Sus scrofa: one gene and its partner. The protein of the gene in region 1 interacts with the protein of each later gene in a biochemical or structural test. Links are inferred from orthologs where the notes say so. Each region holds a gene or a part of one and is shown in the gene's direction. Other genes may lie near its edges.

Evidence for each region.
Region 2: the proteins of RXFP3 (region 1) and RLN3 form a complex in vitro, tested with the Homo sapiens proteins (2 studies listed by BioGRID, with this or other methods). The link is inferred for Sus scrofa from reciprocal best matches to the Homo sapiens genes RXFP3 and RLN3.

Annotation. Positions count from the first base shown.
Region 1 is NC_010458.4:19,947,440-19,951,891, forward strand, and holds the start of RXFP3 (relaxin-3 receptor 1), read left to right. Parts: upstream 1-1,456; 5' UTR 1,457-3,227; coding exon 3,228-4,452. UniProt on the Homo sapiens protein: Receptor for RNL3/relaxin-3. Binding of the ligand inhibit cAMP accumulation.
Region 2 is NC_010444.4:65,149,846-65,154,436, reverse strand, and holds RLN3 (relaxin-3 precursor), read left to right. Parts: upstream 1-1,500; coding exon 1,501-1,693; intron 1,694-3,728; coding exon 3,729-3,958; downstream 3,959-4,591. UniProt on the Homo sapiens protein: May play a role in neuropeptide signaling processes. Ligand for LGR7, RXFP3 and RXFP4.

The DNA of each region.
Region 1 (4,452 bases):
TTCCATTAGGAATTTATATGGTAAGATTTTAGCAATGTTTTAACAGTAGACTTAAATGAAATTTGGCTGGGACTAATATGCTTCTCCCTCTGAATCTTTTAGATGCTGTTTTAGAAAAACACGGTCCATGCTTTAAGGTAAACGAGTAAAATATCTTTAGGTCATGTGGGAAAAGAATTTTTTGAAAAAGGATTTTTTGCTTCAATAAGACAGGCTTAGTTGAGCGATACTATACATTCCTGCACAGGATCTGCAGTTGATTTTCAGACAACAGATTGGGAAATGAAGAGCATTCGAGGCTCGGAAGCACTCCGAAAGTGTTCTCTGGGCGTCACTCTTGGGAACAGCCTCTCCTGGGGTCTCACTGTGAGTCTTGCTGGCCAAGAACTCAAGGCCTGGGAGACCTCAGGAGCACATTGTAGGAGTCCATCCTACAGTGAAGATGTCACTGTCAGGCCTAGATGTGATTTTAAAAAAACTCAGCAAGACCTCTTTCTCTTCCTTTGCTTCCGATCTTACTGTGTAATTGACCATCATGGGACATTGATTCTTCTTTGGGACTTAAGTTATTTCACGTGGAGAGTTAGGAAAGGAATAAAAGTTAACCCAGAAATTCCCAAACTTGGGAGAAAATTGGTATCATCTGGAAGAGGGTTGCTACAATGTAGATTGTTGGGCCCCTTTCAACTCCACTGAGAAGCAGAACCTCTGCAGTTGCATGGGGCTGGGAAGAGAGCTGCAAATTATATTTCAGCAAGCTCCCCACCTGCTCAGCACCTATCCTCAGACTATTTGAAAATCACAATTCCTCCCATGTACGCACAAAGAAAATGAGGCAAAGGGCTTTCCATGTGTGCCCTAGACTTCCTTGTTTTTCAAGGAAAAAACCTTGACATTTTTTTAACTAAAGGAGAGATTAAAAAAAAAAAAATTGTTTGAGAAAGAGCTAGCAAAAACCGGAGTGAGGAGTGAGCTTGAAGATGAGACTACTATGGGAATGGGGTTCACAACCTATGTAATGGGGTTCGCAACCTATGTAATGGTTCAGAGCAAGGCTGAGCTTCTCCAGATTAGAACTGCAGGAGGGCTGTGGTTTGGTTTGGTTTTCGTTTTTATTAAAGCCCTGGCGCCCTCCAGCGGGCAAGCGGAGCAGTCCAGAGACTACAGTGAAGTGTGTTCTCTGGAACTGTGTTCTCATTTAAGAATTAAGATTGTTCATTTGTGATAGAGCATGATAGAAGATAATATGAGAAAAAGAATGTGTATACATCTATGTATGTATATGTGTGTGTGTGAGACTGGGTCACTTTTCTGTATAGCAGAAATTGACAGAACATTGTAAATCAACTATAATAAATTTTTACAAAAATTATTCAAAACATAAAAAATAAAAATAAACACATAAAAAAGAATTAAGATTGTTTCCATTTCCCTTCATATGTTTTGGGTACCACGTTTCTTTTTCACTATGGTTTTTTCTCTCTTATGCCTTAAAGTCATAATCTCTTTATCTCTCTAGGTAGAGTTCCCAGTTCTGCAGGAATGAGGACAATTATGCTTAAGATACTCTTGTTACAGTTTCGTCTCAGACAGTGAGGAGAACATTTCAAATTTCTTGAGTTCATCCTAAGAAGTGTACATGTTACACCAGAGCAGTTGATCTGGCACTTAAATAAACTGCAATTTAATACGTCTCAGACAGTGAGGAGAACATTTCAAATTTCTTGAGTTCATCCTAAGAAGTGTACATGTTACACCAGAGCAGTTGATCTGGCACTTAAATAAACTGCAATTTAATAAGTAATTCAAATGGTTTATATTAGCTCCCCTTGCCCAAAGGAACTAAAAAGATTCCTTGGAATTTACTTCATTGGTCTAAACCAACCAAACAAACAAAAAACACCTGTTAAAGAGTTTTGATTATAATAGTGTTGGAAATAAGGGGCTGGTGGTCCAAAGACAGCCCTATGAAATTCTCTATTCCAACTGCATCAAGGTAAAGAGAGTGTGGTGGTGAGTAAGCAGTAGGTTGAAGAACTCTGGGCTGAGAGCTAACCATCTCTTGTCTGTGAGGTTGGTGCACCGACTATACGCTCTGCTTAGCTTCAGTTCTCAGAATACATCTAGGCAGAGGGCAACACCTGAACCCAGAGTTCTGTTATGTGAAGACGCTTTGAAAATCCTGACAATCCCAGGCACCGATTAAAGTGATCAGCTAATTAATAAGGGGAAGTGGGGCTGGCGTTTGTGTATTCAACAAGAGCCCACGATCTGATTTAAGGTCTGGGTATGAAAAGAAGCCACTATCTTCGTTTTTAAAAGAGAAAAATGGGCAGAAGAGCGTGCATTTGGGAGTGAGAAAGAAAGAATTCTGCTTGCTCTGTTTGGCAATAAAAGCGATCGCAAATCAAAGCAGACTTTCTTCAGTCACATAGGTAAGTAAAGGGTTATGACCATTTCCTTTCGAAACTGAAGAGGAAAAGGGAAATTGGCAGCTGTGCTTTGCCTGCTATGCAACACCACCCCCCTCCCCCGCGGCGGACGCGGCGAAGTTCAGCACCTCGGAAAGCGCCCCTTCTGGCTGTGCTGGGGATGACGCATGCTCCTTGGGAGTCCGCAGCCTGGGCTCTGCGAGTGGGGATATAACTCGCGGGAACGCCGCTGACAAGTCACTGGGAGTTGACAACAGCGGAGGGACCGAGACACGAGGCAGAGAGGGCAGCATAGAAAGACCTCCAGAGAGTCAGAGCCAGGTAGACGAAACTCTCTTCAGAAACCTCATCTAAGCAGCTGCGGAGGAAATCGACAAAGGTATTTGAAAGGCAAGGGGCGGGCCCTCAATAGCCTTCTCGAGCGGCGGGGTGGGATGCGCTCGTGCCTAAGTGACAGCGGAAAACGCAAGGAGGAAAGTCTGAGTTTTACAGTAGGGACCCGGAGACGCCAACCTTGGCTGGACGCCGACTGCTTGCCTTAAGAACTCTGCTCCTCTGCTCTCGAATTCCGCTCCCGCACAGACGCTGAGCGCAGCTCCCGCTCCCAAGGCCAAGCTCCGCGCGCCGAGAACGCGCCTGGAGCCCAGTTTCTAGGCGCTCTGTTCCGCGGCTGCGTTAAAAGCCTCAACGCACGCCGGGACCCCGCGAGAGTTGGTTTCCCTTAGGTCCTATCCCTGAAATACGACCTAGAGGCACCTGCGCAGGCAGGTGGCCACTGCAGTCGCAATAGCCACTATGAACAAGGCGGCTGGCGGGGACGAGCTTGCAGAACTCTTCAGTCTGATCCCGGACCTTCTGCAGGCGGCCAACACCAGCGGCAACGCGTCTCTGCAGCTCCAGGACTTGCTGTGGGAGCTGGGGCTGGAGTTGCCGGACGGCGCGGCGCCAGGGCACCCCCCGGGCGGCGGCGGGGCAGAGACCGCGGACACCGAGGCTCGGGTGCGGATTCTCATCAGCGTGGTGTACTGGGTAGTCTGCGCCTTGGGGCTGACGGGCAACCTGCTGGTGCTCTACCTGATGAAGAGTAAGCAGGGCTGGCGCAAGTCCTCCATCAACCTCTTCGTCACCAACCTGGCGCTGACAGACTTTCAGTTTGTGCTCACCCTGCCCTTCTGGGCGGTGGAAAACGCCCTCGACTTCAAATGGCCCTTTGGCAAGGCCATGTGTAAGATCGTATCCGTAGTGACGTCCATGAACATGTACGCCAGCGTCTTCTTCCTCACCTCCATGAGCGTGGCGCGCTACCACTCGGTGGCCTCGGCTCTTAAGAGTCACCGGACCCAAGGGCACGGCCGGGGTGACTGCTGCGGCCGAAGCCTGGGGGACAGCTGCTGCTTCTCAGCCAAAGTTCTGTGTGTGTTGATCTGGGCCGCGGCCACGCTGGCCTCGCTGCCCAACGCCATCTTCTCCACCACCATCAAGGTGATGGGCGAGGAGCTGTGCTTGGTGCGCTTCCCAGACAAGTTGCTGGGGCGCGACAGGCAGTTCTGGCTGGGCCTTTACCACTTGCAGAAGGTGCTGCTGGGCTTCCTGCTGCCACTGGGCGTCATCAGCCTGTGCTATCTGCTGCTGGTGCGCTTCATCTCCGACCATTGCGTGGCTGGGACCGAAGGAAGTGCCTCAGCAGCTGGGGGAGGCCTGGCCGGAGCCAGCGCCCGAAGACGCTCCAAGGTCACCAAATCAGTGACCATCGTGGTCCTATCCTTCTTCCTGTGTTGGCTGCCCAACCAGGCGCTCACCACCTGGAGCATCCTCATCAAGTTCAACGTGGTGCCCTTCAGCCAAGAGTACTTCTTGTGCCAGGTATACGCATTCCCTGTGAGCGTGTGCCTGGCGCACTCCAACAGCTGTCTCAACCCCATCCTCTACTGCCTCGTGCGCCGCGAGTTCCGCAAAGCGCTCAAGAACCTACTGTGGCGCATCGCGTCGCCTTCTCTCACCAGCATGCGCCCTTTCACCG
Region 2 (4,591 bases), on another chromosome or scaffold:
GCCCTTGCTCAGTGGGTTAAAGGTCCGGTGTTGCTGTGAGCTGTGAGCCTGGATCCTGCGTTGCTGTGGCTCTGGCGTAGGCTGGTGGCTACAGCTCCTATTAGACCCTTAGCCTGGGATTTTCCATATGCCGCGGGAGCAGCTCAAGAAAAGGCAAACAAACAAACAATAAATAAAATAATAATAATAATAATAAATAAATAAATGGTGATAATAGGTGTTCCCATAGTGGAGCAACAGGATCGGCAGTGTCTCTGTAGCACTAGGACGTAGGTTCAATCCCTGGCCAGGTGCAGTGGGTTAAGGATTTGGTGTTGCTGCAGCTGCAGCACAGGTCACAACTGCGGCTCAGATCTGATTCCTGGCTTGGGAACCCCATATGCCTCAGGGTGGTAAGAAAAAAAAAAGGTAACAAATGCATAGTATAAAATGTACCATTTAACCATTTTAAGCTTCCAATCCAGTGGCATGAAGTCCATTCACACCATTGTTCCACCTTCACTACCATCTACCTCCAGAACCCTTTTCATCTTGCAAAACTGAAGCTCTGTCCCCAAAACATTTTTTTTCTTTAATCCTTAAAAACTTTCGCTTGGAGTGTGGATTCTGGAGCCAGAGGTTCTGTTAACCCCAACTCCCACCTCCACTTACCAGCTGATCTTGAGCACCTTGTGTCACTGTTCTGTTTCCCCATCTGTAACATGGATTTAATCTTAGTCTTGATTTCATAGTCCAGTGGCTCTCAGAAGTGTGGTTTCTGGACCAGCAGCATCAGAATGGCCTGGAAACTTGTCACAAAGGCAGATCCTCAGACACTCTGCAGTCAGAGCCCAACAATCTATGGTTTGTTTTTGTTTCTGTTTATTTTTGGCTTCACCCATAGCATGTGGAAGTTCCTGGGCCAGGGATCGAATCCAAATCACAGCAATGACAATGCCAGATCCTTAACCCACTGAACCACCAGGGAACTCCTGAGATCTGTGTTTTAACAAGCCCTCCAATTCAAGTTGGCCTCTGGCCTTGCTCAATGGGTTAAGGATCTGGCTTTGCCACAAGTTGTGGCATAGGTTGAAGTTCCCACAGTGCATACTGCGTAAGCACTTACTGTTGTTGTCACTATAGAGGAGGCCCTGGGACCCTAGCAGTATGGTGGTGATGGGGGGCTGGCTGTGACCCCTCTTCTGGTCTGATGGGGGTCTGGGTTCCTGGTCTCTGCTGAATGGAGACCTTCTCGCCTCTCTCTGTTGAAAATGACAGTGTGCTGGACCACGTCACCCCATCCTTGGCGAAAGGTTATCGCTTGGTCTGGGAGATGGAAAAGGTCGGGGTGGGGTGGGTGCTGTGCCGCCTTCCCTCTGCAGGAGGAGATAAAGGAGGTCACTTGGCTCTTCCATGGTGGGTGGGGGGAGCTAAGATGTATAAATGGGGGTCCAGGAGGCACCAACCATCAGAAAGCTGCCTTGCTGCGTCCACTCTCACATCTCAGGCAGCCCGTCCAGAATGGCCAAACGTCCACTGCTGCTGCTGCTGCTGGCCGTATGGGTGCTGGCTGGGGAGCTGTGGCTGAGGACTGAGGCCCGGGCGTCACCCTATGGAGTGAAGCTTTGCGGCCGTGAATTCATCCGAGCGGTCATCTTTACCTGCGGGGGCTCCCGGTGGAGACGGTCGGACATGCTGGCCCATGAAGCTCTGGGTGAGGCTGGGGAGGTAATGTGTGTGGGGAAGGGGGGTGGACGAGACAGGACAAGGGTCCGAGGAGCCAGGAAGGGAGGTGAGATGAAGAGCAAGAGAGTCCCTTCCCTCCACATGCAACTGGGGAGACAGCCAAGCCCTCAAAGCTGTGCCAAGGCTGGAGGAGCCAATTAGCAGAGCAGAGGAGCTGGGATGGGGTGGTGTGTGTGTGGGGACAGCAAGCCATTCACCCTAGCTAAAAGTCAGAGAACAGGCTACTCTTTCTGGAACACCTGCTATGTGTGAGCCCTGCATTAGGCAAGGCTGCTGTTTGCAAAACCCTGGTATGTGCCGTTCAGAAGCGGAAACTAAAGTGCTTTCCAACCCTTTGGGGAAGGTAGTGTGAGGGATGTGATGAATCCAAGGCTAGATTTGCCACCTAGTAGGTGACCCTCCTACCAACTTGCTTTCCCTCCCTGATCCTCTTTAACAGCAAATAGGAGCACAGGCCCTGTATCCTGCAGGTGTTAAGTGGCAAAAGTGAGGCAAGACAGAGTAGCATACAGTTGAGTGCTTACCATGTGCCAGACACTGTTTTAAGTGTTTTTTTGTTTGTTTGTTTTTGGGGTTTTTTTGCCTTTTCTAGGGCCGCTCCCACAGCATATGGAAGATCCCAGGCTAGGGGTCTAATCAGAGCTGTAGCCGCTGGCCTATGCCAGAGCCACAGCAACGAAGGATCCCAGTTGTGTCTGCGACCTGCACCACAGCTCACAGCAATTCCAGATCCTTAACGCACTGAGCATGGCCAGGGATTGAACCCTCAACCTCATGGTTCCTAGTCAGATTCGTTAATTACTGTGCCACGATGGGAACTCCGTTTTTTTTGTTTTTGTTTTTGTTTTTGTTTTTGTTTTTAATGGGTATTGAGTCTTCTACTGGGTACGAGATCCTAGAAGATAAGAGTTATTATTATCCTCACTTTGCAGACAAGGTAACTTAAGCTCAGAGAAGTAAATTCACTTGCTCAGGGTTATCACTCAGAGAGGCTGGATTGGTGCTTAGTCAGTTCAGCTCTCAAACACATGTTTTTTTTTTTTTTTTGCCTTTTCTAGGGTTTGCTTCCTGCGGCATATAGAGGTTCCCAGGCTGGGGGTCTAATCTGAGCTACAGCCACTGGCTTACACCACAGCCACAGCAACTTGGGATCCGGGCCACATCTTCGACCTACACCACAGCTCACAGCAACGCTGGATCCTTAACCCTCTGAGCAAGGCCAGGGATCGAACCCACAACCTCCCAGTTCCTAGTCAGATTTGCTAACCACTGTGCCACGACGGGAACTCCCAAACACATGTTCTTAACCATCAGGTCCTCCACAAATAAATAGTAGGGGAAAGAAAATGATTGAAGCAGAAAGCCAAGCTCAGTGAGGTCGAGTAAGCTGCCCATCAAAGCTGGAACCCAGGTACCAGTGGCATCAAAATCTTTAACTGGGAGTTCCCCTTGTGGCTCAGTGATAATGAACCCAACTAGTATCCGTGAAGATTAGGGTTCAACCCCTGGCCCTGTTCAGTGGGTTGGGGATCCAGTGTTGCCATGAGTTGTTGTATAGGTTGCAAACGCAGCTCGGATCTGGAGTTGCTGTGGATGCAGCCTAGGCTGGCAGCTGCAGCTCCAATTTGACTCCTAGCCTGGGAACTTCCATATGCCACAGGTGCTGCCCTAAAAAAAAAAAAAAAAAAGAGTCACTGTCCTAAGCCCTGTGTTCCCCCACCCCCCAGTCCTCCCTGAGGACCCCAAGGCTGCTAGGAGCCTCCAGGACACTGCCAGGGGCCCAGCTGCACCTGTCCTTGTCCCACGGGGCCATGTCATTGGCCACAATTTTTTTTCTTTTTAGATGTGGCTCTAAAAAGACAACAAACAAACAAAAACAAAAAAATCTTTAACTAACAGGCTGAGTCACAAGAACAGAGAAGTGGCTGGACCAGCCAGGAGCCAGAACTCTGAGTGTGGCCTGAGCTGAATCCCAAGCACTCACTCTTTTCATCTTTTTGCAGGGGATGTCTTCTCAGACACAGATTCCAACGCAGACAGCGAGTTGGACGAGGCAATGGCCTCCAGCGAATGGCTGGCCCTGACCAAGTCCCCTGAGACCTTCTATGGGGTTCAACCAGGCTGGCAGAGAACCCCTGGGGCTCTTAGGGGCAGTCGTGATGTCCTGGCTGGCCTCTCCAGCAACTGCTGCAAGTGGGGGTGCAGCAAGAGTGAAATCAGCAGCCTCTGCTAGACAGGGGACCAGGTGGCCATGGAGAACCAGAGTGAATGTCCCAGCTCTGCTGTCCACCTAATGGGTGTCCAGGTGGGCACCTGTTTCTAGCCCCTCATGCATTCATTCATCAGCAAGTCACAGAGCTCAGGCACTATGGGCTCAGAATAGAGTCCTCCCACCCAACCCTGACCTTTGGCCAGCCTATCCTGACCCTGAGCAGGCTGTGCCCCTACCTGGCCACATGGGGACCCTTTCTCCCCAGCCCATCTCATGCCTTTCCTGGCCTGTACTGTCTCCTGCTGCAACGGTTGCCCCTGCTCTACCCAAAGTGGCCACACTGAGACCCTGGCCCAGCTGTGGCCACTGTCCCCTCGCCAGCCCAAACTATACCACCCCCAACTCCCGCCCCATTCTAGCCTTTGCCCCCTCTCTCCCCGAAGCCTTCCAGGCCCCTCCCTCCACCCCAGCCTGGGTTCTAAAGCTGTGGACCCCAAGCCTGGAAGAGGGACCTCAGGTTCCCTTCGTTTCCTGGGGTGGAGGCTCAGTGGTGGGGGGAGGGGTACGGATCAGAATCTTCCTCAACCCCCCAAATAAAAGTTCCAAAGTACTTGGCAGCGTGTGTATGTGTGTGTGTGTGTGTGTATGGTGTTT